3 linked regions of the Notamacropus eugenii genome follow. The protein of the gene in region 1 interacts with the protein of each later gene in a pairwise test. Links are inferred from orthologs where the notes say so. Each region holds a gene or a part of one and is shown in the gene's direction. Other genes may lie near its edges.

Evidence for each region. The genes of interacting proteins can lie anywhere in the genome.
Region 2: the proteins of SIAH1 (region 1) and CTSK interact in a two-hybrid assay, tested with the Homo sapiens proteins (2 studies listed by BioGRID). The link is inferred for Notamacropus eugenii from reciprocal best matches to the Homo sapiens genes SIAH1 and CTSK.
Region 3: the proteins of SIAH1 (region 1) and PEG10 interact in binary tests that used the Homo sapiens proteins (3 or more experiments, as listed by UniProt). The link is inferred for Notamacropus eugenii from reciprocal best matches to the Homo sapiens genes SIAH1 and PEG10.

The regions. Positions count from the first base shown.
Region 1 is NC_092872.1:463,105,691-463,113,739, reverse strand, and holds the start of SIAH1 (E3 ubiquitin-protein ligase SIAH1), read left to right. Parts: upstream 1-5,039; 5' UTR 5,040-8,049. UniProt on the Homo sapiens protein: E3 ubiquitin-protein ligase that mediates ubiquitination and subsequent proteasomal degradation of target proteins.
Region 2 is NC_092873.1:304,709,556-304,716,746, reverse strand, and holds the start of CTSK (cathepsin K), read left to right. Parts: upstream 1-4,168; 5' UTR 4,169-4,212; coding exon 4,213-4,439; intron 4,440-5,605; coding exon 5,606-5,656; intron 5,657-6,177; coding exon 6,178-6,307; intron 6,308-6,872; coding exon 6,873-6,995; intron 6,996-7,191. UniProt on the Homo sapiens protein: Thiol protease involved in osteoclastic bone resorption and may participate partially in the disorder of bone remodeling. Displays potent endoprotease activity against fibrinogen at acid pH. May play an important role in extracellular matrix degradation.
Region 3 is NC_092874.1:503,470-510,341, forward strand, and holds PEG10 (retrotransposon-derived protein PEG10), read left to right. Parts: upstream 1-4,598; 5' UTR 4,599-5,025; coding exon 5,026-5,979; 3' UTR 5,980-6,349; downstream 6,350-6,872.

The DNA.
Region 1 (8,049 bases):
TTGTGGTTCCTCCTATTAGTTCTAATTCTTCTTTACATCATGACTAATGTGAAAATGTTTAATATGAATGTATAAGTAGAGCCTATATCAGATTGTATGCCATCTTGGAGAAGGGGGAGTAGAGGGAGAGGGAGACAATTTAAAACTCAAAATCTTATGGAAGTGAATGTTGAAAATGAAAATTAATTGTAAAATATTTCTGGATCACAGTTTTATAACATTTGGGCAAAATTCTACATTGTTATCCAAAATGACTAGATCAGTTCACATGTCTACCCCAGTGTATTAGGGTGCCAATTTTGCCACATCCCCTGCAACGTTGTCATTTTCCCCTTTGATTATTTTAGTCAAATTGATAGGTGAGATGATATCTAAAAAGTTGTTCTAATTTGCATTTCTCTAATCAATAATGATTTAAAGCATTTTTTATCTATGATTTTGATTTATTCATCGAAAAACTGCCTCTGTGTCCTGTGTACAAACCCTTTAAAATTAAATATAATCAAAATTGTCCATTTTACATCTAGTAATGCTCTCTATTTCTTGTTTATTCATTAATTCTTTCTCTATCCCTAAGTCTGGTAGGTAATATTTCATGTTCTTCTAATTTTCATATGATATCTCCTTTTATATTTAGGTCATGTATCTATTTTGACCATGGTAAATGATGTAAGATACTGGTCTGTGTCCAATATTTGCCAGACTGTGCAAACTCTCTGTCTTTCTCAAAACAATGTAAGCAGAAAAAATCCCTACCACAAAACAATAGAAAATGAACAGTACAAAATTACAAAGAACCATTCTCCCCAAAGATGAAATGAGAAGGTAGCTCTCTCCCTTATTAGCTACTTTATTATTTGGGGGACAGGGGTGGGAGAGTACAGTGGGGATTGGGTGGGAGGGGAGAGGCAGAGAGGGAGGTGAAAGGAATTTGCCATTTTAGAACATTATCACTGATTTTGCTGCTATTTCCCCCTTTTTATTTTCTAAAATAAAATCTTCAAAGATTAAAAATAATTTTTGTCCTCTGAGATGATTCTCTGGGAGGGAAAGTGATACAGAGGAAATTCAAGAAAGGTACCAACAGAGGTCAGGAGAGAGAATTTGTCCAGATAACTAAAACAATGATTTCATTTATGTAGCTTTGAGGTTTGCAAAGTATTTTTATACACATTGCCTTGTTTTAACCTCACAATAATTCTTGAAGTATGTGGGTCTTACAGGTATTTATCTTCAGTAAAGACAATACAAATGAGAGAAGATATGTGTTTGTAATTGAATGTTCTCTAACCTGACTAACTTAATCAGGCAGTTGACACAAATAAGAAATAGATAAAACAGACATCAACACAGAATTTGAACGTTGCATGAGGAAGTTGTTGCAACCTAATTAATATAAGAAATCCCAGAGTCTAGAAATCACTTGACCCAGCAGACATCTTTGTTTTCTTGCTATTATAGACTGCCATGACTCTTTGCATGGCCACACCTGTTTAAAATAAAATTTTTTTGGTTAAACCTTGCCAGAGAATCATGGTAGAAGATGAAGGGTGTTTAAGGATGAAGGTGTAAGAACAGATGAAAAACTAACAAGAATGATAAAAAAGATTTTAAAATAAAAAATTATTGTAGATAAATTTTTTTTGTTTTTAAATCACTTATATTTCTGAAAATTTTTCTTCTGCTACCCTACAAAGCCATTCCTTGTTACAGAATAAAGAAGTGGTGAAGGAAAGTCATTCAGAAAACCCAACACATAAGTCGTATTTGATGCTATGTGTATTTTTTTCCATTCATACCAATTCCCTTCTCTTTCTTTCCCTTCTACCCATCCTCCCCTCCCCCAAGAAGGGAGGGAAGTACATTTCCTTAACTCTTCTCTTGGGCCAAGCTGGATCATTATAATTACATTGCTCTCAGTACCATTTTTTTTTTTTTTTGTTTGCTGCCGTTTAAGTTTACATTGTTGTCATTTTGTACATTTTCTTTCTGCTCCAGCTTACTTGGGCATCTTTTCCTGTGTGTCTTTCCCGTCTTGACTGTAAAGATTTTTATGAACTTTTTCATCATCAGTGAGTGCCTTCGGCCACAACATTGCCACGTTTGTACTCTTAATAGCACTGTCCTTGCTAAAAAAAAAAAAAGAAAAATCATTACATAAAAGAAATATGAAAGGAAAAACTCGACTTTTATTACCCCCCAAAATGGCAGAATGTTAGCTACTGACCTAGGTCCCTGTTTTCCTATTCAAATTTTTTATGAGCTGAATCCATACACACATTAAGGACATCATTGATGAAAGTTTGAACAGTTAGGCACTCCTAAAGGATATTCTGTACCAGATACATTCTTAAGAACACACAGTTGACTGAAAGGTTAAGACAAATATAAGATCTTACAGTCCTCTTCAGGTACTTTTGTTTGCAGATTATTTTGTTCTGGTTTCATCAAATCTCAGATCGTTGTAGAACCTCCTAAATGAGGTCCCTAATGGTCCAAGAGAATTTGCCTCTACACTGGGTGAAGAAATCCTGGATAGTAAGACATGAACTGAGTCTGACATGCAGTTGAATGGACAGCCCATAAGTCCTCCATCAGTACATAAATACTGAGCAGACATTGTGAATGGACAGTGCACTGATCTGAGAACTGAATTGGAGGAGGAGAACCAGTCAGATTGCCTTTGGGAAATTTCATAATGCTTCTAATGACCAAGCTGGGAAGTTAGAATCCTTAATGTAAAAGGTGGGACTTGAACTGAGCATTGAAGGAAAGTAAGAATTTTGAGAGACAGAGGTCATTAGGAGGTACATTACAGGCATATAGGTTATGGGGAACAATTAGAAAGCCTCCTTGCTGTGTGGACCTTAGTGTTGATTAAATAGATTAATATGCAGTACAGCTGGAAAATAGGTTAGGGTTATATTGTGAAGGACTTTAAGTAACAAACTGAGGTGTTTATATTTGTGCCTGGAATAAATAGGGTAGCGACTGGAGCTGACTGAGTAGGGAAATGACAAGACAGATTTGTGCTTTAGGAAAATCACTTTGGCAGCTCTGTCACAAGGGTGGATTGGAGGTGGAGGCAGGGGTGGGGATGGAGATACTTAAGTATTTTGTTTTTATTATGTCATCTTAATCTCCCAGTATATCCTTCCAGCATTTACCATACCCAAAGAGCCATCCTCTCTAACAAAGAATAACTTTGAGAAGGAACAAAAAAGACTTAGGGAGTTCAACTAAACTAATCCACGTGAACTGAGTCTGACAATATATGCAGTGTTCCATAAGTTCCCCATCTCTGAAAAGGAGGAAAAGTGTAGTTTTTAACTTTCTCTTTAGCACTTGATTTCTATTTTTGTTGCTCTTTCAATTTACATTGTTGTAGTTGTTTTGTGTATTATTTTCCTTATTCTGCATCAATTCATATGTCTTCCCATCCATATTTGAATTTTTTACATTTCTTATGTACAGTAATACACAATCATCTGGCTGGGTGAGAAACAGCAACAATTGATAATCACTCCAAAGCTAGGAGGGTCAAAAGGAGCCTTTAGGCAGGGTCCCATTGGCTTCCCAGTTTCAGACTGCAGGAGGTTTAAGGTTTGGGAAGAGGAAAGAACAGGACAGAACAGGAGAAGGGGAAGGGAAGGAAAGGAGCCAGTAAAACGGGGCATCTTTTGGCCATCCATATTTACAGTCCTTTGGAGAGGAGAAGAAAGGGGAGGGGGAAGCAGACAGGAGAGGAGGAGTTAGAATTACCCAGCTCCCTGTGTTCTTCCCCCACCCCCCCATTCAGCCCCTGCATCTACTCACAGGATTGTGTTTTGTCCTTCATTGCCAAAGAAGACCATGTCATCAGAGAAATGATGACATGAGTTGCACTTGACTTTGTTTTGAGTGAGGGAGGGTGTGCAGGTCACCAGCCTCACAGGGGCCATGCCCTGGCTACTTCTTAAAGAGTCCTATTCAATGAATGCTCTTCTTTGCTCCTGTTCTGTTCTGTCCTGTCCTGTCCTCTCCCCAAACCATAAACCTACTTCACTCTGAAACAGGGATGCCATTGGGCCCCTACCTAAGGGTTTCTCTCGACCCTCCTAACTTTGCAGTGGTTATCAACAGTAACTGTTGTTGTTTCCCACCCAGCCTGATGTCTTTTCTTTTTCTTGGCCTCCTTAAAGGGGCCATGTCCTGGCTACTTCTTAAACAGGCCTTTTCAATGAATGGGCATTGCCTCACCCTAAGGGAGTACCTGCAAAGACTGCTCAAGGTCTCCCATTGCATCCTGGGTCATCTCCAGTCATCCTGATGAATGTCTGGTCACTGGATTCAGATTTTTCTGGAGGAGAAGTGAGGCTGGTGACCTGCACAGCCCTCCCTCACTCAAAACAAAATCATGTCATAATTTCTCTGATGGCATGGTCTTCCTTGGCAAGGAAAGACGACCACAAACTGCACAGTAATAGTACATTAGCTTCGTGTAGCCTCATTGGTTTAACCATTCCTACTTTTTCTGCTACCGTAAAATATCATTGATTATTTTGGTTCATATGGAACCTTCCTAGAAAGGAATGCCTTTTGACTTTTTTTGAGACTCATTTTTTTTATACTTGTATCTTTACAGTTATGATTATTGGTTGTGAGTCATGAAATACAGTAGTTTCAGAAGAATTAAAGTTGAGGGTCATCCAACAGGCAATGAAGAAGCGTGGACATGAGTAGGTGTTCAATTATTTCTCTTGTGCAAATTCTGATTTGTAAAGATGTAAGAAATACATGATCAAAAAAAGAAGGTGGGGTCTGTCATTGTCAGATTGTAGGATGGACAGCTCAAATGCTCTTTTCTTATCCATACAGCATGAAGAGAAGCTAAGGAGGTGCATAGCAAGTTGGGTGGAACCTTTCCTCCCTAAATTATGATGAGACCTGGATAAATGACTTTAAAAAGATGAGAAATCATGTGTGGATCGCAGCTGGTGGTATCTGAGGGAGAACCCATGTGGATAAAATTACACCTCCATCAAAGTAAGGGTCCAGGATAAAAATTTTAACAGAAATTAGCAACAGATAAATCTTATTAAACTCCCATTAGTATGTGATTGGTTTCAGTGACTATTATTATTTTTTCCTTGTTGGGGAGGGGGAATGTAATTTTTGATACATTTTAGTTAATTTGACTTGCTTAGTAGACCAGGATTCTGGATCTAGAATGCTGTGTAATAGAATCTTACACTGAATGAGCATGTTTATTACCTTTTTTAGTAGATACGGGAAAAGGTTGGCAAATTGGCTATTTAAATGGATATATATGTACATGTACCTTTAAAAAAATGAGATCCTGTGCCTGAGCCTTTGTATCAGCCTCCCCTATGCCTTCTTAGGGGCTCCTCACCTCTTCAGTGGAAGTATCAGAGAGTCTTAACAATTAAAAAAAACAAGACATTTTTTTCCCATCATTCAGCATTTATTTTCTTTCCTTCACACTTCCCTATCCCCCCCCCCCAAAGAAAAAGAAAAAGAAAATTCTTTAACAAATATGTACAGTAAAGAAAAATAAATTTCTGTGCTATGTTAAAAATGTGTATGTATCACTCTGCATCTTGAGTGCATTCTCAGATGACTATCATTTTTCATCACTGGTGCTCTGGGAATCATGGATGATCATTGCATTTATCATAATTCTTAAGTCTTTAAGTAGTTCTTAAAATGTTATTGTATAAATTGTTTTCTGTTGTCCTCGCTTTACCCTGCATCATACAAGTCTTAACAGATTTCTCTGAAACTCTCTCTTTTTAAATTTCTTATGGAATAATAGTATTCCATTACATTTGTATACTATTATTTGTTCAGGTATTCCCTCTAAGGGTACTCCCTTAGTTTCCAATTCTTTGCCGTTATAAAAAACTACCATAATTTTACTTAGGGAGGGGGTGCATAGGGTCCTTTCCCTCTTTGATTTCTTTGGAGTATAGGCCTAGTAGGACAGAAAGTTACATGGTACTGAGAATGGAAGTTGCCTTTCCTTTTACATTAATGCAACTCCTCTGTCCTCTTCTCAGCAATTACTGGGTTCCATTTGGCACATTTGCCCTTATCCCCAATTCTAGAAAGGGTCCTGGGCTTCCATGCACCAGCAGAAATCTTCATTATAAGCCCATGTTCAATAATTCCCAGATGCCTTAAAAAAATGGCTCATATTTCTTGATTCAGCACATTTCTTAGTTTCAAAATCCCAGTTTTTACAGAGGGCTTAGAACTACTAATAGATGTTAGGCATAGAGATCAGTATCACCCCCCCCCTCCCCAAATTATACGAATAAAACAAGCATCAGTTTACAGCATTTATCTTAAGTACACCATTTTTTCTTCTCTTTTTAAAAATTCTGAACTTAAAACACCAAAAGTATCTTTACACAGCAGAATACAAAAAAACCCCTCCCTTTGAAATTGTGAATTTCCATTTTATACTACTTGCTTTTGTGGAGAAAAAATGTAGTTCTGTATGTTACTTTCAATACAGTGTTGTCTGTGCTTCCTTCTGTGCATTAAAAAAGGTCCATTTCAAAAAAGTGTTTCATTGACTTCAGTGGCTTGGGAGGGAGGCATCCATTTTATTGGAATAGGTTTAGGATCTGACATTTAATCTCCATACCTCCACTTTATAGCTGCATCTCTGCCAGTTTTTATCAAGTTGGTTCTTTTCCTAGTGTCTCAAATTATTCTAGTAAGTAAGGCATCTCCTGATTGGTTTGCTTGATCCCAGTTATGATAGCTTTGTAATAGTGTTTACTTTGCATATATAATATGTATAGACCTGGTTTTACTAAAAAAAATGAAATAACTATTTAAAGAAAAACAAAGTTGAAATGAGGTATAAAATAGACATTTGTTTTAAGGAAAAAAGCAGTTTTCAAATGTGATGTCACTTGAACAGCTAGTCAAAGACCTTTTTGGGGAGGCGCTGTGGTAGAGTGAAAGAGCCCTGCCTAAGAGTCAGAGGACCTGAGTTCAAAAACCATCTTTGACAGGTACTTGTGTGACTTTAGACAAGTTACAAGTCTCTGGATTGCAATTTCCTGATTTGGAAAGTGAAGACAGATTGAACTAATGGCCTCTGAGGTAATTTGTAATCCTTTGTTTATGATTTGTTTTACTTTTGCTTCTGAAATTTGTTTTAAATTGACTTTAGCTTGAATTACATACTGTCATAGGTTGAGAGGTTAAAAAAAAGAAAACTTTTGACTGTGACGTGGCATTGGAAAATGAAGCTAACAAAATAATTTGATAAAATTTTTTCATCTTTCAATTGTAATGGAACAATGAAATTGAACAAATGTAAGTTAAGTTAGAAAAAACTAGATGAATGACTTGGCATTAGTTTAGGCATAATTTATGTTAATTTACTTTTTTGTTTGCCATTAAATTATTGAAAATGAATCTTTAAGAACTGCCATGATATCTGGTTTTTGCTGATTCTTTTGGTGTACCACCCTGGTAATTTGTTTAAATAACATTATTGGTAAAGTTATGTTCAACTTTGAGTAAAAGTAGTTCTGTTGTGTTCTGGTTAGTGAGAAACTACTTTAATAAAGTCACCATTTTAACTGTCTTCTACTGGAAAATGTTTTTTTGTGGAGGCAATTTATTCCGTTTGGAGCTAAAATTGAACTCAGGTCCTGCTAACTCCAGTGCCAGCCTCTCTCTATCCACTGTGCCACCTAAACTGCCCCAAGTTTTTTAAAGTGTGTTTGAACATTTCAGTTTAATTGATAGCCATTTTTGATTACTTTACAAGCCATTCTAATTTTATAATTAATTTCTTGAAAGGTGAATATTTTGGTATTTTTCTTTTTTGTGACACTAAGCTAATCAAGTTTTGAATTTTCAGGCATTCTGGGAATCTAGTCTTGACTCTGCCTTTGAACAAATTGCTTTTATCTGGGCCTCAGATTTCTTATCCATAAAATGAGAGCTGACTTGTTGCACTAGGTAACACCCAAGATACTTCTGTTTGAAAGGTCTGCTAGTTAGAAATAATCAGATAGTGAA
Region 2 (7,191 bases), on another chromosome or scaffold:
TCAATCCCCATTCTCTAAACAAGCAGACCTAAATAGAAAAAAGAAGACATTTTTCCTTGTTACTAGCACACAGATGAAAAAAGGGTTTATGATGCTACACCTTGTTTTCTGCCTAGTCTTTAGAGTCAAGTTGGGTCTCAAAAATTTTTGCTGGGAGTAGGGAGTGGCAAGTGGGTATAAATATAATAATACTATGTGGCAGATGGGTAGGAACCCATATCAAACAGGGCTTCTTAACAATTAGTGTAGCCCTCTGGTTGAGGATATAGGCTACTATTATGGCATTTGAGCCTTAGGTCACAGTGAAGTGACAACAGTGTTTTTTTCCTATTGCCTCAGGCCAGTTTTTAATTACAAGGCTGAGTTATTAAGGGCAAGATGTTTTTAATGTAGTTGTAGGTGTCTTGAAAACAGATGACCTTGGGGAGGAAGGGGGGCAATGTCATATTGATTTGGCCTCTCCTCTCCCCTTCCCTTCACCCTGGTACCAGATAGCAAAAAGACAGGGAGAAGGAGATATTTTATTTTTTAAAAATCTATGTGCACACACACACAGCATACATACATTATATATATTATATATATATTATATTTATATCACAATTTAAGAAGCCAAAAAGTTGAGTTTCCATTTGAATCTGTCTTTTGATAATCAATTATTTTTAAATGTGATTAGGACTATAATATTGTACAGTTATTGTAGGGTTTTGGGAGGGAGGGAAAAAAACTCTGGGGGGTTTTGTTCCTACTCTTCCTTCAGGGTTTTATTTTCAGTTGTGTTTATTTTTCTTGTTGGCCATTCTTTGTTACTTGGCACCTATGTCAAGTCTCATGGTGGCACAAATGATGTCATTATGTAGCAGAGATTTTAAAGCAAAGATATTTTTCCTTTTTAAAAATCCTTGTGTGTTTTAGTCTTGATTGTGACCGCACCATCCCTGCCCAGGTTTCTTGCTTAATGCTTCCTGCCAAGGTATACACAGACAGAAAGACAAAAATGTGCTGTGTGACACAGAGCACAGGTTAGCTCCACCAAAAAATACACATACTAAGACACCAAAGATAAGAAACAACTATTCCCTAAATGAGATGCTTATATAATCTGTATTTAAAAAAAAACAAACCTCAAATCAGAGCTCTGATCATTCATCTGCTTTTTTACTGGCCCTTTGATGTTGCTACTTTCAAGAAATGGAAGGGGATGGGAAGAGAGGACGCCTATATATATAGCAGAGTTCCAAGGAAGAGAGAGCTCTAAACCCTGCAGGAAAAAGTTATCTCTACTAGACTCTGACCCCAAATATCTTTATTCTCTGATGGAAAAAAATTAAGTATTGGGAGACAGGCTGTTTCTGCTTGTTCTTGGTTTCCTTCTGGGACTGTCTTCTGTAGCATGGGCTGAAGAAACTAGACTAATTTGAGCTTGAACTGCAGGGAAATCTAGGGCTAGAATCCAGCTGTGTTGGGGAAAAGAAACCAAATGTGTTTATCTTGCTGGAATCATCCTTTTTCCTTCTCCCATGTCATCTGTTTACTGGGGGAGGGGGGGGAAGGGGGGGGTTGGGGCTGAGGCAGACTCTTGTGATCTGTCACATGCTGGGAAGGGGGAGGATGGTCTAGAAGGGCTCATATGACTGGCATGTAATAATCATCAGACAATACCCATTCCTACCATTCAACACTTAAGAAAAGGGAAATCCCTTCAACCTTCCCCGTGGTCTCAATGCTTCTGGCATTGATTTATGTGTTGTCATTATTGGAATTGCTATTTCTAATTCAATTATTTTGTAGCTGAACAGTCTCCTATGTCATGAATCATTTCTTTTCCTTGAGAAAAAGGTTCCTCTATATAGGAAAGATACTATCTTGAATGGGGTCGGAGAGGTAGAGACATACTGACCTGGTGAATAACTTACAAGAGGCAGGAAGTTTGGTTACCTCACTCCATAAAGTGGCTGAATTTTGAATTTGTAAGAATTTGACAAAATGGATTGAGGGGCTGACCTTGGAATCAAGAAGATTACAATGGTTCACCTTCTGATTCTGTCACGTACTAACCAAATGGCCACAAGCCAGTTCCAGAGGAGTTCCTGATGTGCATCCCTGGGAGGAATTTGCTACCCTGATAACAGCCTTGTACCAAACACATTTAAATCCATAAGATGAATGATAAACTAGAATTTATAACATTCATGGGGTGTTTTAAGGTTTACAAAGCACTTTTATACATAATATTGTTTGATTCTTATAATAGTCCTTTGATTGAGGTATGTAATATCCCTATTTTACTGATGAAGAAATGGGCTGAGAGTTTGGTGGGACTAGGGTTGAGAGAGAACTATTTGCTTTAGGTAAAACACAAAGTCTGGGGCACGTTTTGAACATGATTTTTCGTGATTCAAGTTCTTGGGAGGATCTGCAATATACAAGGTGCTGGGGAAAAGAAAAAGATTAGATGTCTTTAAGCTTTTAATCTAGTAGAAAGAGATGTCAGTCCATCGACAAGCATTTATTAAGCATCTACAATGTGCCAAGTCCTGCTTAACAGGTACAAGGCAAAAATTACCTCAAAGACCTTACATTCACACACATACATAAAAAAAATAACCAGTCATAAGCCATTTACATGCCTACTATGTGGTAAACACTACTAACTGTTAGGGATACAAACAAAAAAGCGAAGGACCATCCCTACTTAAGCTCATGTTCTAATGGGGCACATATATAACTACATTCATACATGTACATACATTCACACATGGGTATGTACTTATTTAAATATATGTGTGTACACACATACCTATATGTGAACATACAGACCATATGTGTGTATATATATACACACATATACATACATAAACATATATACATAGACACACAGTGGTCAGACAAGAGTACCAGATGTAAGCAGAATTAAGCAGCCAGGGAAGGAGGAAGTGCTTGTTTTTTCATTGGTGTAACTGTTAAATTCTTTAGGTAAAGAGGGATGATTATTGTATGATGATCTTGAGAGAGCACAGTGAAGTAAAGTTAGAAACAGAAGGCAGACTGCCAAGGGTAGAGAAGTAAGTGTAGACCACTCCTTCAGGAAATTTGGCAGTGAAAGGAAGAAGAGAGCACAGTGCCTTGAAGTCTTCATCAGGGTGAAAATCAAGATTCTTTCTTAGGATAGGGAAGACCTTTTTAGGTGGATTTATTTATTGAGTCACTTCGGTTGTATCTGATTCTTTGTGACTCCATTTGGGGTTTTCTTGAAAAAGTTAGTGGAATGGTTTGCCAGCTTATTTGACTGATGAGGAACTGAGGCAAACAGTGACTTGCCCAGTGTCACACAGCTAGTAAGAGTCTGAGGCCAGATTTGAACCCAGAAAGATGAGTCTATCTGGCACCCCATCCATTTCACCACCAAGCTGTCCTTTTAAAGTGGATATAAATAATTAATGGAGAAGAAATGACTGAAGTTAGAGAAGAGCTTAGACTTATAGACCTTATAAATTGTTTTGTTCAATCACCTCATTTTGTGTACATAGACACACACAGACACACACAGACACACACAGACACACACACACAGACACACACACACACACACACACACACACACACACACACACCTACCCAGAAAAGTGAAATCTTTTATGTAAGACCAAACTGCTACTTAGGGGCAGAAGTAGGTCTACAATTTGGTTTTCAATGGTACTCTTCCCCAATAAGTTCTCTCAGGGTCCACAAGAACATATGATGAACACCACAGGTGGTGTAGTGGGTTACTTTTATTCAGGTGCATTAGTTCTTCTGAGAGACTTGAAGGAAAAATAGATTTGAAGAAAAAGAAGTTTCGACATCCAGGGTTAGGAGAGAGAATGGTCTCTAAAATAGGAGTGAAGGTCATCTGCTGAGAATTTCAGTGACCTAAGACATTGCTAATCTTACAGACTAAAAGAAACATTGCTCTTGTGTGTGTGTGTGTGTGTGTTTTAAAGTAAACAGTACCCCAAACGGTAGGTATTTAGTACGTGTGAAAAGTCAGTCTGGTGGGACTAGGGAGGCAAAACTAGCCTCCCACAGCCAGTACCCTTCTCAGCCAGAAGATAGAGAAGATAAAGCTTGGGAGGATCCTGTGTTGAGGCTGAATAGCCCAGCTTCCAAGACGAGTTTTCTGTGTGCCACAAAGTCATGTGAAATAACACCCAGCAACTCTTCCCTGTTGATATGCAAATCTGTTCTCCTCCTTCCCTTCTCTCTTTTGGTTTCCTTCCACTCTGCCCCTCTCCCCCCTCTTCCTCCTGGCCACTTCCCAGCCTGACAGTCCAGATTTTCCAGCCGACTGCTGGAACTGACTTCCTCAAACTTTTTGGAATAAAACTAGCATCCATAATCATCCCCCCAGATACGTGCCTGTGCCTTCCTCTCCAGACTAGAGGACAGACCATCATCAGGTAAAGCTGCGCTTTTCCTTTACCCTTCCCCTGCCCTTCCGCTCCTCATCCCTGCCTGTGGATTTCTTTAGGAAAATCAGGGGATACTACGACATGGGTGAAGTGACTTCTAGGGATAATTTTGTTGCCACATAGATATTTCTTCTTTGGAAATCTGCAATGTATCTTGTGAGTGGACTTTGTCCTAAAACTCTGAGGAGGGCAGAAGGGTTAGGGGCCTCCCACCCACTCGAATTCCCCCAAGGCTCTGCTTGTAGTTGTTTGCCTGATTTCAAAAGAGGATAGGGAGAGGAAGGATTAAGAGAGTTTAGATCTAGGGATCCTTATACTACAACACCCAAGTGGAGGGGAGAGTGTTAAAGCTATCCCATCTTTCTAAGATTTCTGGGCCTCCCAGCATGGTAACTGCTAATATTTGACATGGCTGGGGTTGTATAGAGGGTCTCTCAGCCCTGGCCCTTCCGGTACAATCATGAAAAGGACTGAAGACATGGTCAAAATGGCCCTCAGTAGCCTAAGCTTACTCAAAATTGTTAGTACCTAGGATGTCATGTGGCATGTTATTCTGCATAGCTGCTTTTGTGAAGGAGGCTTTATAACACAGTCCCACAGATCAGGGTGGGACTGAGTACTTGACCTTCAGGGGCTGCTCATGCTTGATTTTCTTGGGATGTAGAAACTGGGCTTCTGACAGTGGAAAAGAAAGGGAAATCTTTCTGACCACAGCAGCTGGTTGATATTAGAGCAGTTTCCTGAAAAAGGAGGAGGAAAAAAAAACTACAGTAGAGTTGGGAGTAGAGGAGAGGGGAGGATTTTGGAGAAGGGTTAGGGAAAGGGAGATAGAAATAAGTAAGGAGAATGGGAAGCAGAGAAAGCAAGAGAGATTGGGACAGGGAGGAAAATCCTTCCAATTAGCAAATTTTGGCTCAGCAGTCCATTCTATATCTAAGAATTTAGGAATGGGTTCTTTTGAAAGAAAAGTAGGTCAGAGTCTAAGGAGATTCACTGATCAGGTCAAAACCTCCACTTGGTGTCTATTAAAATTCTAATTTGATCTTGGCCATTCCCTTTTCCTTATCATCTCCTCTGGGCTTGCTGGGCATACTGGAGGGAGAGGGAGAAGATATTAATCAGATCATTTTTAATTTTCCCTTCCACATATGTAGAGCTAGAAGAAACCTTTGCACTGAAGACAACTCAAAGGCAAACAGTACAAAGTGAGTGCTCAGTTGAAAGGAATGGATGTATGTGGGAGGGTGAGCAGATAGAAACTTTGGAATACTCTTTAGCCCACCATCTGGTAGCTTTCTTATTTTAATTAACTATTTTCTTTCTAATTTCACTAAACTGCTGAAAAATTACAAATACTAGCCGTGCCCTCTAAATTTTATACGTTGGTGCAAAGGACTAATCGCCCTGCCTTAGACACATCTCAATATATATATTTATTTTGTTTCTCTATTGTGTGTGTTTGGGTGATGTTTTGCCAGGATAAAGTACACTGGGAGGAGTCAAGGAATCAGACAAGAAAAGCAATGTGTTTCTGTAATGTTTAGATTTTACCCAGAGCTGGGTCCCTGACTCTTATTCTTTGGTCATAAACCATTCTCAGCACTCTGTCTCCCTTCCCAAAATGACAGTTTCTCCCCACCCCCATTATTCTTGATTTGGAATTTGAATGCAGTTTTCATATATACCCCTTGCACATCCAGAATCTGGACAGTATTTCTTCCCTCAGGATGTGGGGGTTCAGCATCCTGTTATTGTTGCTGCCATCAGTGGTGAGTTCTGCTTTGTACCCAGAGGAGATGTTAGATACACAGTGGAAGTTGTGGAAGAAATCCTATGGAAAAGAATATAACAGCAAGGTATGTGGGGACCTGGAGGGAGGCCTGAGTTGTGACGATTGGAAGTATTTGAGGGGTCAAAGCTTCTTCTATCCTGTAACATTCTTTTAAGTACTAGACCCTCCCTGAAATATAAATCATTATAAATTCAATATAAATTTCCCACTTGAAGCAAATCTCCCCTGTTCTTTACTCATACTTCCCCCCTCTGACCTCCAAGCCTTACCCCAACTTGTTACCCAACCTTAATTCCCTGTTCCTTGTAGCCTTTCTAACCTTTCTTCTATAAGACTCCCCAGAATAACCCATGCCAGGTCTGTGTACTCCCTTGGTTGATATCATCCCAGGACTTATGGACTTAATATGATTATAATATTTGGCATTTCTTTATATACTAATTTCTAAGTACTCTTAAATTTTTTTTTTATGCACATATGTTTAGTTTCCTCACATTGTCCTCTCTTAGAGCATGGGAGTATCTGGCATCTTCCTTCTGACTCCCTGACAACATTTAGTATAGGTCTATACTTAGTGTAGTCTACAAAGGATGTTCAGTCAGAGTCACTGTTACCCCTGCTCTACTTAGGTGGATGAAATCTCTCGACGTCTGATTTGGGAAAAGAACCTGAAATATATTTCCACCCACAACCTGGAATTCTCTCTTGGTCTTCACACGTTTGAACTGGCTATGAACCATTTAGGAGACATGGTAAGTCTGTCTTATCCCCTAGTTTCAATTTCCTATGTAAGGGTTAAGTCTCAACCTGGCAACAGGAGCCAGACTCATCTTAAGGTTTTTTCCATTAAAAAAAATATGCCTTTTAGAATTTTTATTGCACATCATAGTCATTTTCAGATAGATTTCCTTTCCTCCACTGAGGAAATGAGCATGCCTGACAACCATG
Region 3 (6,872 bases), on another chromosome or scaffold:
CCTCCCATTATTTATATTTCACTCCCCAAAAAACCTACTGTTCTTACTGCCCATCTCTAGCATCACCTCCTCTAGCCCCACCCCCCATCCCTCCCACCACCTTCCAAGCCAATACCCTCCCCAGCTCATTAAAGTTTAGGGTTAGTGTTGTGGGTCACCACTAACCCTAACACCGCCCTGTTACTAAAGTCTTATAGCCTCAACTCCCTTCCTAGCTCTTTATTATCTAGCTCCCCCAACCTATCCCCATTACTTCAGTCCAATAGCCTGAAACCCCCTCCCCATCTCTTTATAATCCACCCTCTCACACAACCTATCCTCATTACAAAAAGTCCCTAGGGTTAGGGTTAGCACAGCCCCGCCCCCATTTTTAAACCCAGTCCCCCCCTCCCACAACCTGCCCTCCTTAAAGTGGTCATCTTGTCTCATACCCCCTCCCCTTCTCTTTATAAATCCAGCTCCACCCTGTTGTGCCCTATTCTCAAATCCCCTTTTATCTACCCCCTCCCACCCTTATTACCACACTCCTCTAATCTCAGCCACCTCCCCAGTTTTTAAATATTTTAACCCCTCCAGAAAACCTGCTCTTCTTTCTGTAGGGTTAGGATTAGCAACGCCCCCCCCCCACATCTTCCCCTCATTACCACAAGCTACCTCCCCATTTGGGGGCATTTTAGCCCCTCCTCACAGCCTCCTTCATTACTGCAGGCCTCCCACATCAACACCTCCCCCCTCCCACAACCTGTTCCTCAAACCCCCTCCCCTTTGCCATATTATCCCTTTCTACCTACCCTCAATGAATCTTCTGGCCTCAAGCCCCCTCCCCTTCTTTTTATATTCTAGTCCCCTCCCCTATATCTTGCTTTCATTACTACAGGCCTTGAATCTCAATCTCCCTCCCCATTTAAAAAATCTAGCCCCCCCCTACAATCTACCCTCTAATCCTTCTGTGCCCCCCAATCTATTATCTAGCCCTTCCACAAGCTACCCTCTATCCTCATATGCCCCTCCCTCTATATTATCTAGCCCCCCCACAATCTACCCTCTATCCTCATGTGCCCCCCATCTATTATCTAGCCCCCCCACAACCTACCTTCTATTCTCCTGTGCCCCCCGACAACCTACCCTCTCTCCTCATGTGCCCCTCCCTCCATTTTTATTATCTAGCCCCCCACAACCTACCCTCTTTCCTTATGTGCCCCTCCCTGTGTATTATCTAGTCCCCCCACAACCTATCCTCCATCCTCATGTGCCCCTCCCTATATATTATCTAGCCCCCCCACAACCTACACTCTCTCCTCATGTGCCCCTCCCTCCATTTTTATCTAGCCCCCCACAACCTACCCTCTCTCCTCATGTGCCCCTCCCTCCATTTTTATTATCTAGCCCCCCACAACCTACCCTCTTTCCTTATGTGCCCCTCCCTGTGTATTATCTAGTCCCCCCACAACCTATCCTCCATCCTCATGTGCCCCTCCCTATATATTATCTAGCCCCCCCACAACCTACACTCTCTCCTCATGTGCCCCTCCCTCCATTTTTATTATCTGGCCCCCCACAACCTACCCTCTTTCCTTATGTGCCCCTCCCTATGTATTATCTAACCCCCCCACAACCTACCCTCTCTCCTCATGTGCCCTTCCCTGTATATTATCTAGCCCCCCACAACCTACCCTCTCTCCTCATGTGCCCCTCCCTATATATTATCTAGCCCCCCCACAACCTACCCTCTTTCCTTATGTGCCCTTCCCTGTGTATTATCTAGTCCCCCCACAACCTATCCTCTATTTTCATGTGCACCTCCCTATATATTATCTAGCCCCCCCCACAACCTACCCTCTCTCCTCATGTGCCCCTCCCTATGTATTATCTAACCCCCCCACAACCTACCCTCTCTCCTCATGTGCCCCTCCCTGTATATTATCTAGCCCCCCACAACCTACCCTCTCTCCTCATGTGCCCCTCCCTATATATTATCTAGCCCCCCTACAACCTACCCTCTCTCCTCATGTGCCCCTCCCTATGTATTATCTAACCCCCCCACAACCTACCCTCTCTCCTCATGTGCCCCTCCCTATATATTATCTAGCCCCCCACAACCTACCCTCTCTCCTCATGTGCCCCTCCCTATATATTATCTAGCCCCCCCACAACCTACCCTCTCTCCTCATGTGCCCCTCCCTATGTATTATCTAACCCCCCCACAACCTACCCTCTCTCCTCATGTGCCCCTCACTGTATATTATCTAGCCCCCCACAACCTACCCTTTCTCCTCATGTGCCCCTCCCTATATATTATCTAGCCCCCCCACAACCTACCCTCTCTCCTCATGTGCCCCTCCCTGTATATTATCTAGCCCCCACAACCTACCCTCTCTCCTCATGTGACCCTCCCTGTGTATTATCTAGCCCCCCCACAACCTACCCTCTTTCCTCATGTGCCCCTCCCTATGTATTATCTAGCCCCCCCACAACCTACCCTCTCTCCTCATGTGCCCCTCCCTATATATTATCTACCCCCCCACAACCTACCCTCTCTCCTCATGTGCCCCTCCCTATATATTATCTAGCCCCCCCCACCCTACCCTCTCTCCTCATGTGCCCCTCCCTCCATTTTTATTATCTAGCCCCTCCCACCCTACCCTCTCTCCTCATGTGCCCCTCCCTCCATTTTTATTATCTAGCCCCCCACAACCTACCTTCTTTCCTCATGTGCCCCTCCCTATATATTGTCTAGCCCCCCCCACATGCACACTCTATCCTCATATGCCCCTCCGTATTTATTGTCTGCCCCCCCCACAACCCACCCTAATTACTTCAATCCTCTGATCTCAGACCCCTCCCCATGTCTTCTGACTCCTACCCTCATTGCTACAGTCTCCTAGCTGCCAACCCTCCCCATCTCTTTATAATGCAGCCCTCCCTCATTACTAGTCATCCAATATCACACCCCCTCCCCATTTTTAAATTTTGAGCCCTACCCCCCAACCTACTCTTCTTACGATACATGTCTAGCATCACCTCCCCGAGCGCCCCCACCCCTCCCACCACCTTCCCTCATTACTATGGTCCTGTAGAAGCCAATCCCCTCCCCAGCACATTAAAGTTTAGGCTTAACCCCTCCCAGTCTATTTGATATCTAGGCCCCTGATGCTCCTCCTGTTCCTAAAGTCTTATAACCTTAGCCCCCCCCCCCTCCCCCTTATCTGCCCCCACAACCTACCCCCATCACTACAGGCTTCTTTGTTGAATCTCCTTCCCATCCCTTTGTAACAGAGCCCCCACCTCCCACCAGCTACCTGCATTGCCACATTCCTCCAATCTCAGAGCCCACTGCAGCTCTTCAGGCTCCACTCCTGGGAATATGCCCCCATTGCTGGGGCCTTCCAGCCACAAACAGCCCCTACTGCTTCCCTAGGGTAGGGTTTGCAAACCCTACCCCCATCTCTTAACATCTTAGCAAACCCCCCCACATCCTCCCCTCATTACCACAAGCCCCCTCCCCATTTGGGGGTCTTTTAGCCCCTCACAGCCTCCTTCATTACTGCAGGCCTCCCACATCAACACCTCCCCCCTCCTACAACCTGTCCCTAATACTGTTGCCCTCTTGCCTCAAACCCCCTCCCCATTTCTTTTTATCTCTCCCTTCCTTATACCCCCCTCAATGAGTCTGCTGATCTCAAGCCCCCTCCCCTTCTCTTTATAATGCAGACCCCCTGTTTTTTATTTTTGTATTGATTTGATTTGATTTGATTGATTTTATTATTACAGGCTTCTGATCTCAAACTCTACTCATTTTTTTAATCTAGCCCACCCCCCAAACCTACCCTCATTTAAATAGTTTTTTATCCTCAAACACTCTCCTCATTTTTAAGATTTTAGCTCCCCCAAGTAGCATCACCTCCCCCTTCTCTCAATATTTTGCCACTCCCAGGCCCCCCCCCATTACTGTAATCCTGCAGACTCAAAGTCCACCCCTTTCTGTTTGGAGTCTAGCCCCCTCTCAATGCCACTCCCCTCCCCATCCCTTTATAATCCAGCCCTCCAATATCCTCCCCTCATCACTAAACTCTTCTAATCTCAGGACCCCCTCCTCACAACCTACAGGTGTCCTATATGAATACCACCTCCTCTCCCCCTCCCACAACCTAACCTCAACCCCCCCTTCCCTTTTCCTTTTCCAATGATCCCATCAGCCTACCTACAATGCTCTAGGCTTCTGCCTTCAAGCCCCCTTCCCATCTTTATGACCCAGTCTCAGTCTTCTCCCAATGGAGCCCCCTCACAACACTGCCCTCCAGTAGCCTCCCAGCCCCTCCCCACCTCCTTCGAGTCTTCTCCCTCTAGAGTCATTTGATCAGAGTCTCTGAATACTTTCTGTCTTTTGCTTCTGTGATCTGATGCTGGCATGTGCCACAGACTTGCTCCTCTCCATGTCTCCTCCATGCCTCTAGCTCAGCTGACATTCTCTGTCTTCCTTATTCACAGGCACCAGTGACTTTGGACTTCCTTCAGCAGACAGTAGAACCTACAAGTGCTGAGTGCGAGGGAGCAGCCGGATCTGGGAGTCACGTCAAACCAGACCCCCCACCCTGGGGTGGGGGGGAGGGCTCCCGGAGGAGGAGGTCAGCACCTCTGCAGAAGGACAACAGCCTGTGCCCAGACCAACCACACTCTGCCAGCTAGATAATGTGATTCAACCGTTCAGAGGTACTGGTTCAGATCACTTCCTATCTGAACTGGCCAGGTATGGCATGGAGCCCTCAGGGGCTGCCAGGGGACTTTCACTGGAGCCTCAGCTGACCAACTGACTCTTGGCCTCGTCGCCCTTTCTTCTCATTGGTGGTGGACTCTAAAACAGTAGGACTCTTCCTTGGTCTGTTGGGTCTCTCTTTGGGGCTCTCTGGCCAAGCTCCACTGTCCCTTGCCTACTGTCTCTACCCATTCTGGTCTAGCCAGAGTGATTGAGCCCCACCCCCGGGGCATCTTTGACCGTGCTTACACTGATTCCCAGGATCTTTGAATATGCCAACCAGCACTGGTTCCGGTGCTTCGGCCCGCCGCTGCAGGATGGAGGACCTCACAGCTGAGGTCCAGGCCCTGCGGGCCCAGCTCCTCCAGCAGACCGAGGAGAACAGCTCCCTGCAGACCCAGCTCCTCCAGCTGTCAGAGGAGAATGCCAACCTCCGGGGACAGCTCCAGGCCACCCCGGTAGGGGCCATGGGCCTCTCTGCCCCTCGTGGTAAGTGCCCCGTCGGCCTCCCTGAGAAGTTCGATGGGACCCCCGAGATGCTTCCCAGCTTTTTGGCCCAGAGCCGCCTGTACATGGAGCTGAGGCCTGAAGACTTTCCCACAGAGCACGTCCGCGTGTGCTTCCTCACCAGCTTGCTCAAGGGGCGCGCGGCCCGCTGGGCCACCCCCTACCTACTGGAGTCCAGTCCTCTGCTGAACAACTATGAGGCCTTCATCGATGAGTTCAAGCAGGCCTTCGAGGACCCCCAGCGCAAAGAGGCCGCCAACCGCAAGATCCGGCGTCTCCGCCAAGGCCTCGGCTCCGTCCTAGACTACGCCAGTGCTTTCCGCCTCTGTGCCCAGGACCTGGACTGGAATGAGCCGGCCTTCATCGACCAGTTCCTGGAGGGCCTCAGTGATCCCATCCAAGATGAGCTCGCTCGCGTGGAGGTGGCCCGATCGCTTCCCGCACTCATCAACCAGTGTCTGCGCATTGAGGGAAGGCTGAATTCCCGGAGAGGGGCATCTCCTGCCAGCTCTCCTCAGCCCCAGAGCGCCTCGTCCCCTCCAGTCGAGTCGGAATCAAACCAGCTGGTCACTCGGCCTCAGTTGACCCCAGAAGAGAGGGAACGTCGCCGAAGACTGAACCTGTGCATGTACTGCGGACTGGCCGGCCATTACGTGGACAACTGTCCATCCAAGAAGCCAAAGTCTTCTGGGGTGGGAAACTCCCTGGCCCCGCTGTAGAGGGACCCCCAGCGCCCGGGCCTGAACCAGAAAGGTCCCCCCCAGATGACGCGTCATCTTCTCACTTGCAACTACTGATCACGTTACATCTCCCGGACGGCTCCTACTGTACCGTCCGCGCCATGATTGACTCCGGTGCCTCCGGCAATTTTATTGACCAAGATTACGTTGCACAGACTGGAATCCCAGTAAAGATTAAGTATTGGCCGGTGCTGGTGGAAGCAATTGACGGACGGCCCTTGGCCTCTGGCCCAGTGACCCAGGAAACCCAGGAGCTGGTGGTAGACATTGGGGAACACCGTGAGAGACTCTCCTTCGATGTGACCCAGTCCCCCTTCTTCCCTGTGGTTCTGGGGGTGCGGTGGCTCACCCAGCACAACCCCTCCATCATGTGGAGTTCCCGCACCATCGTTTTTGACTCAGAGTATTGCCAGCACAACTGTCGGGCTGCTCTGCTGATGGCACCGAGCCTGGTCCCTGGAGGAATGGACGTTCAGGAAGTTCTTGTGCCGATGGCCCAGGAAGCCATCCCATACCACGCACCGTACAGTTACACTGTAGCCCCCACCGGCTACCCCTACGCAGTGTCGGACCCAGAACTGATGGCTGTCCGAGACTTCCTGGCCAAGAATGTGAAATGGGTTTGTGTCCAGCCGGCCTCCCCATTGGGGGCCCCAGTTGTCATCATGAAGAAAGTGGGAGAGCTATATCTTTGCAATGATTCTCAAAACCCAAATGCCATTGCCGTCTGGAACCAGTATCCACCACCTTCAACTCCTTACGTATTGTACCAGCTCCAAGCAGCCCCCATCTACAGGACCAGGTCCCCAGCAGGGTACACCACCTGGTCAATGTTGGGAAGGGAAATGAATGGAAAACTGTGCTTGATCCCC